2 linked regions of the Drosophila melanogaster genome follow. The gene in region 1 interacts genetically with each later gene. Each region holds a gene or a part of one and is shown on either strand. Other genes may lie near its edges. The genes, in order: Atf-2 and Mekk1.

Region 1 (3,745 bases):
AACTCCGTTTTTGAATATTTATGAAAGGACAGTGTGATCCTCTGAGCTGGATACCAGCCGGATCCTGTAGGCCGCACATGCCGTTATGGCCAATTGCGGTCCTTGACTCCTTTGCAAATTTCCTAGGGCCAGAAACCTGATCATCAAGTTGGTAACCAACGCTAGGGTCATGCCAAACGTGTCTTTGCTAAAATGGAATGGTTAATCTGGTCAAGTCTTAAATACCAATGTATCACTATGAGGACTGCTATACCTTTATATTACATATTTTTCAAATAAAATTCAAGTTCTTATGGAACTTATTCAAACATTTGTTCTCAAGCTTTACTTTAGCCTGATCGCAAGCTATTCCAAGTTTGGAAAAAAATTTTGTGCACTCAGCCACTTGATCCTAACCACAGAGACCGACGGACAGTAAGAAAAATGGCGAGGTTGCAGTGCGATGATGGAAAGGATGTGGCGGTGGGGCAGGAAAAGGAGCTGATGGGTATGGATACTTTGAATGCGGGCAAGAGAGAGATGTTCATCGGAACGCATGTTCTTTGAAAATTGCCCATAATTATGCGAACGAACTTCAAACTGATTGTTTCTACCGGCAGCAGCGCAGTCCGAGAAACGAGAATCCAGAGCCGAGGATCGGAACCCATCTCCATCCCATAGCTCCATGGACCATGGACCACGCTGTCCGAAAAACGCGCGTCCGTTGCATGCAACGTGGCAGGGATGGGATGGAATGGGATGGGATGGGATCGAGATCGGGACATGGCCAAGGGTATGGCTGTGTGGAATAGCCCGCTTGGCTGCAGTGAAAGAGAATGACTGTAATTACGCATCACTTTTTCTTAATTTTCATGCTGTGCATCTTGCGGCCCTTCCTCCTCGCAAACGGAGCGGATTGGAGTGGTGGTGAACAACGAGGACGAGGGCCGGAAGGGGTCCTCCATCTTCTCGCTGGGAACAATTTAAGCACTGAACTTGACCCACAAGTCGAGTCTGCTGCTTTTTGTGCGGCAGAGTTTTAGAAAATTGCTCGTTTCGTTGCGTGCATATTTCCCAAAATGCGAGCGGCTTGAAATCATTTTGCGTGTTGTTTTGTCCGCTGTCTGTTTTCTGCTTGTTCCTCCAATGAGAAATCTAATTTAAAAGATACAAATTTTAAATTATGGGGTTTTCTTGGCTACCAAAAATGTTTCGATGTTTTTTCTTCGCTTTACCTTCCTCTTCTTCACATATGATTGCTTCTACGTGCCGAAGACTCGCATTTTGGCATTTTGGATGCGATGGCAGATACGCAATTTCGTTGCGGAAATGCCGAATGTCAAGAGTGGTTGCATAACAGCTTCAAACACAGAAAGGCTAGGAATAATAAGGGTCTCATGACAGAGGGGTATTTTTTACACACAGTATTTATTGGTAACCAGATTCAAATTGAAAACATTCGCGCGCCTTTTTTGCACCCACTCGCGGTATCGATATATCGGTTTGCACACATCACTACTGTGCTAAGGTAAACAACATATAAAATATACATTATATCGAGGTTTGAAAATTCCTTTACTTATTTTGTTACACAATGAAGATTATTCAGTATTTATTTGATTTATTTTAAGTTCTACGTTATGATCTTTGTTCTACCAGTAATAAAATACATTTTACATCGTAATTACGGCAGAAGAACTTAGTACCTTTTCCAGCACTGCAGCCAGAGTTGGTTTCTTAATGGAGTCCGATAGGTTCAATAACACATCCATACATCGATAACAATTTTATTTTTTGTTTTGCTAATGTGATTTACAAAATAGTTGTTTTAATTGAGAATTGTCGGCAGATTATGGAGTTTGATTTGTAAATAGCATGATTTTGATGTAACTTCTGACATGGACACCGCCGGAGACATGGATCACCTGGCCAGTGTGTCCTTCGGCGACTTTGAGACAAAATCCCCAGAGGGCGACGTATCCTGCTATCAGAACTTTCGGGCACAGACGGAACATGTTTCGCTAGACATTTCTCTCGGGCAGAAGTCAGACACTCTATTTGCCGCCGACCAAACGCCCACGCCTACGCGACTCATCAAGAACTGCGACGAGGTGGGTCTCTTCGAGGACCTGCAGCACGTAAATCCATTTGACATTGGATTCCAGCAAGCAGCGGAGCGAAATGTCAGCGGCACTCCGAGTCGCCCAGAGGCTCGACCCAATGACGGTGAGTCCCTGCACACGCCCCAGGTGTATCCCGTCGAGGCCCCCACCGTGGTATCAGTTCCGTCTGAAAATCAGGTCCCACAAAGTGTCAGCTGCGGCGATATGGATGTGGACCAGCTTCTGGCCACGACAGTTACCTCGCCTTCCAAAGCCAGTCAAGATGGTCCGCCGCCGCTGCAGTTGATCCAGCCCCAGGTCCTAACATGGGTGCTGCCTGCGCAGTCAGTTCCCATTTCCATCGCTACAGTTGATTGTAACAGAAACAGGGTGAAGCCGACTGGTGCCATTCATCCCTTCATACTGCCGAAACCCACTGCGAAAGAATTAAACAAGACCAGTAAAAGACCCGAGCCTATTTTGGTCAGTTGCAACCCACCTAATAACGAGCCCAGTAGCGCCAGTCTGACGCCCACCTCACAGCTGCCCATCAAGGAGCGATTGAAGGCCATTATCCACAGCAATAATAACAGACGAAGTTTCTCCACACCGCCCAAGGCTGCGAAAGCAAAGGATCGCAGTCGGGACGAGGATTGTATGGAGCGACGAAGAGCAGCAGCCTCTCGTTACCGTAACAAGATGCGAAACGAGCATAAGGACCTCATCAAACAGAACGCCCAGCTGCAGCAGGAGAATCAAGAACTGCACGAAAGAATTTCCAGATTAGAAAAGGAACTGCAGCAGCACAGGAGTCACAGCAGCTTAGCTGGCGGTAAGCTTTAATAAACCATTCCTGAAGTTAAGTTAATTTATTTTCGTTTATAGTGGTGGCCGACCAGCTGCGGATTCCACCATCCAGTATACACTTGCTCATCAATGTGCCCAACGTGTTAGTGCCTTCGTCCGCCAGCAACGCAAGCGCGGCCAAGAAATAACCAATATGCCTTGTTTATTTATTTTCTAGTGCCATGTACATAATCCTAGCCTTGTAGTTTATTCGTACAAAAAAGCCTCAGTTAAGTTAAATTCCTTCTGTACTCCAATGTTTTGTCTGTGGTTATGATTTCCGTAAACTCTCTCTGTATCTCAAAAATGGAATTCTCGATATCCACCAGCTGGGGACTAAATTGCACAGATGATGTTGCTGGAGTTCGCAGCTGTTCCATGGTCATCTGTTCGGAAGAAAGTAGACTTAGGAGATCACAGAATACAATCTAAAATCTTTTATCACATACATCACGCAAGTTTTTCTGCAGCTGATCACGCTGATAGCAAAGTTTCTGGATTTTGTCGTAATACTTCTGTGCCAGTGGAGCACCCTCCGTATCCGAGTAGTAGCGCTGGGCAAGGAGCTCCATCTCCTGGTTACGAATTTCATCTTCGGCCAGCTGCATTTCTTGGTTGTGACGCCGACGCTCACGCTCAATACTGTGCATCAGCAGGTCCATGTCCTTCTCCATCTCCAGAATTTTGCGTCGCTGCTCAGACTCCTGTAACTTAGTGATGACCTCGCTCTTGCGCCGACGCACCTCCATTTGGTAGGTGAGCAGCATTTTCCGTTGGCAGGTGATGCGCTCTTCCTCGCGATGGATTGTGTCCTGGTA
Region 2 (3,924 bases), on another chromosome or scaffold:
CCCTGGAGCACCCGCACTGGAGAGCCTAAGTTGGTTACACAACCTAGCGCCGTGCTTCCCGCTGCGAGGCGATCAAATTCAGGTCATCCACGAGCCAAAGCACTTCTACGAAACGCTGGTGCAACGAATCGGTCAGGCCAAACGCCGTATAGTGCTGGCCAGTTTGTACCTGGGCACTGGGCAACTGGAGAACGCAATGGTTCAGACGTTGCGTCACAGCCTGGAGCAACAGTCTGCCCTGAGGCTCAACGTGCTGTTGGACTTTACACGCGGCACGCGGGGAACCCTCAACTCCAAGACCATGTTGCTACCCCTGGTCCGCGACTTTGCGAGCCAGGTGCAGCTATCCCTGTACCATACGCCTGATCTGCGCGGGATGACAAAGCGACTAGCACCGCCACGGTGGAATGAGCTTCTCGGACTACAGCACATGAAGGTCTACCTGTTCGACGATGCCGTGATCATATCAGGCGCCAATCTGTCCAATGACTACTTCACCAACCGGCAGGATCGATACATACTCATTGAGGACAAACCGTTGGCGGATTTCTATGCGCAGTTCATCGAACGCGTTCAAGAGTTTAGTTTGGCAGTGGCGCCAGATGCCAGCGAGGGACTGCACCGCAACTGGCGAATACTGCCGTACGAGGGCACCAAGGAGCAGTTTATCCAGCTTGCCCGTAAACGTATTTCCGATTTAGTGCAGGAGACGTTTCAGCGGCAGGCGCGAACTAAAGAGCAGAATCCGCAGGCAGACACATGGATTTTTCCGCTGCTTGAGATGGGCCAGATCGGCATTCATCACGACAGCGTGGTGACCAAGCGGCTGCTCTCCAACTGCTTGTCTGGATCACGGCTGAAACTGGCCACCGGGTACTTCAACCTGACGCAGGAGTACATGGACACGCTCACGCACAAGTGCCTGGCCCAATGCAGCATACTGATGGCTCATCCAAATGTGAGTGGCTATCAGTAATTAGTTGACCAATAGTAACCCGATTTAATTCATTTTCCAGGCAAACGGCTTTCAGGGTGCCAAAGGACCAGCGGGCGGAATTCCGGCTGCCTACACACTGATAGCCAAGAGTTTCTACGAGAGCCTGGTCCGCCGGAAGCAAAACCACCGCGTTAACTTCTTCGAGTACGAAAAGCCCGGCTGGACGTACCATGCTAAAGGACTGTGGTACTACCTGCCAGAGGCAATACTGCCAAACCTCACGCTGATCGGCTCTTCGAACTTTGGCGAGCGATCGGTGAACCGCGATCTGGAGACACAGGTGTGCCTTGTGACGGCTAATAAGGATCTAAGCCAGCGGCTGCAGGCGGAAGCTGACCGGCTGTACGATCTGTCACAGACGGCGGAGCGGGAAATCGTCCAACGACCCGTTCCGCGATGGGTCCAGGCCGTCGTTCGCATATTCAGGAATTTCTTCTAGGCTCTTCGATATAGTAGTTTAATTTTTTTCGTTCTTTGTTAAGCCCCATATCCCAGGTAGTTAATTTAGTTTTATAATTCGTGTTTAATCTTTGCCCTGGGCAAGTGTTTCTATTGCTGGTAATTGTTGATTTTGTACACACGCTAAAGTTTGTTAAATAATAAAGAGAATCGAGGGCATGCAGAAGGAAAAATACCACGCTGTGTTCTAATCACCAGGGGGATCATCATTTTAGAATCAAGTGCATATGTTATAAATATTTGTACTATCTATATGTACTTTCATTTAGTTTTAATAATTTTTGGTGCTGATAATAATCATGCGTTCAAAATTAAATATCCCGCCCATCTGTGAATAGTGATGGACGCCTAACGATGGTTTACCGCTTTGGAGAGGCAGAAATAATCGGATAGACCAATGTTTTTAGCTATTTTCAAGAATGTATTTCGAACTTTGTTGAAAAAAGTTGCAATTTGTTTAATTATTATTTTCAGATGTCCTCAATGTGTTTACCAATTTTGTTAAAAGAAATTTAAGAGCAAAGTCTAAGCAAAAATTTAACTCTTCGAAATACTCTGCTAAGTTTAAGCTTTTAACCAATTGTTGAACGAAAAGTCCCAGTTTGATTATCGCTTCTTTGCCACCTCTAAAGCTCTCTCTTTTTTCACTCTTCAAAAACGCCGGGCGACTTGAGTGGCTCGAAGACTTTAGTTAGCTGCTTTTTTTGGCCCGGTAAGACGTACGACAAAGTGCTTACCTGCGTGCCAAGTTCGGGAGCGCGTTAAACGTTATGTGTTTGCTCGCCGTGAAAGTTAAATTAAAATAAATCTGATTATCGCCAAAGGCAAAACAAAAAGAAAAATAAAAACGCGGCGCGTGCTTACTAAAGTGCAAGTGTGTGTTGGTGCTGGATTGCGATAGTGTTTGTGCACTGGCGGCTGGCTGAGCATGTGTGCGTGTGAGCAGCAAATTCCAAGAATATAACAAAAGCAGAAAAAACAGAGTTTTGCAAAAATGTCAAACAGGCGAAGAGTGCGAACAATTGATTATCTGGCGCTGCAGCAGAGTTTGCGTTTGCAAAAGACACCGGCAGCAACAACAAATGCAGAGGAGCAGGTGGCAAGGGAGGAGGAGAATGGCAATGGGCATCATAGTACCGTTACAGCTGAAACGCCACCCACACCACCCATCCCGCCCATTCCGCCCATACGATTACGACGCGAGCAGAGCGTCGAGGAGGATGTTGCAAGGTGAGCAGAGCACACCAGCGGTTTTCGAATTGCTGGGCTTTTCCCAACACAAACAGAAACAAGAAAGTCTGCATTGGCACGTAACTAACAAGCGCTCTCTTTCCCATTTCCTCTCCCCCTCTTTTAACATATCTCTGTCGCGGCTCTGCTCTCAAAGCCATATTTGCGGGGTTTCCCTCTCATTCGCTCTCGCATTTCTTCTCTCTCGCTGTGCATTTCACCAGTTTTAATTGTTTAAACGTAAACAACGTGTTTTTTGACCACGTTATCTTGTTGTTGGCCTGGGTGGCTCAACGAACCCCAGAATTTAGCGAACTGCAAGACAGGCACAAAAAATGAACAGCAACAAATTGCGAATTCTGCCTGAAATTAAACACTTTGTGTGCAGCGCAATTAAAATTCTGCACAGGTGCACTGCAAAAATTGGATCACATTTGTGTAACGCATACTCGTCGAACACGTAATATATTTAGAAATTTTTGTGGAAATTTTAGTAGATTGAGATTGAAACCAAATCTTGAAGTCTAAACGCTCCTTTATGTAACAGTAACGATTGTTTTCAGTGATCAACAAGTTTTCTCACTTACAAGAGAGCACCCTTCATAAATATTTTAAACTGATTTTAATGTGTTCAAATAAAAAAGCAATAATTGCTAGGTATTACATTACAAAAACTAAGTTTCTTTATAATGCATGTTATATTCGCTCTGCGTCGTTTTTCGTAGTATTTCGGCATTTATCATAGTCATATTTTTGTGTGGGGCCGCCTCAAGTCTTCCAAGATATTTGCTGATAACGCTGACGGTGGACTGATAACACATACACACGCTCACCTTGAGAGAATTACGGATACGTTTTCCGCTGTTTTTTTTTTTTGTGTCTTATGCGCAGGGGCTTATTCATAATACACTTCATTTTTTTGATTTGATTTTTATGGGATAGGTGAGTGTTCATCGTTTTGCGGGAAAACATGATTGTCGTATGTTAGCAGGAAATTTGCGACAAACATCCATTTTCTTTTGGCACCTGTTTCTATGGCAACTAAGTGAAATTAGCCGAGATTTATGTGTCTGCTGCTCGCTCTTTTTTTCGTTGGTCTCTATATTTTAATACCTGTTAATTGATAAGTTGATTGGTTCGCTGGAAAAATGGCAACGTATAGATATAATATTACATATGTTTTTTTTTTTATTAAAGCATCGTATATGCTAAGATACAAGCAGTGATTCTTTAGGAAA

The links.
Region 2: of Atf-2 (region 1) and Mekk1, changing one suppresses a phenotype caused by changing the other (phenotypic suppression), as found in Drosophila melanogaster (one study listed by BioGRID).

What each region holds. Positions count from the first base shown.
Region 1 is NT_033778.4:24,868,333-24,872,077, forward strand, and holds Atf-2 (activating transcription factor-2), read left to right. Parts: upstream 1-1,775; 5' UTR 1,776-1,877; coding exon 1,878-2,913; intron 2,914-2,966; coding exon 2,967-3,076; 3' UTR 3,077-3,157; downstream 3,158-3,745. Other genes in the region: CG16896 (uncharacterized protein), read right to left, coding at 3,158-3,313, 3,377-3,745.
Region 2 is NT_033777.3:18,741,763-18,745,686, reverse strand, and holds the start of Mekk1 (Mekk1), read left to right. Parts: upstream 1-2,092; 5' UTR 2,093-2,450; coding exon 2,451-2,686; intron 2,687-3,924. Other genes in the region: PGS1 (phosphatidylglycerophosphate synthase 1), read left to right, coding at 1-958, 1,017-1,436.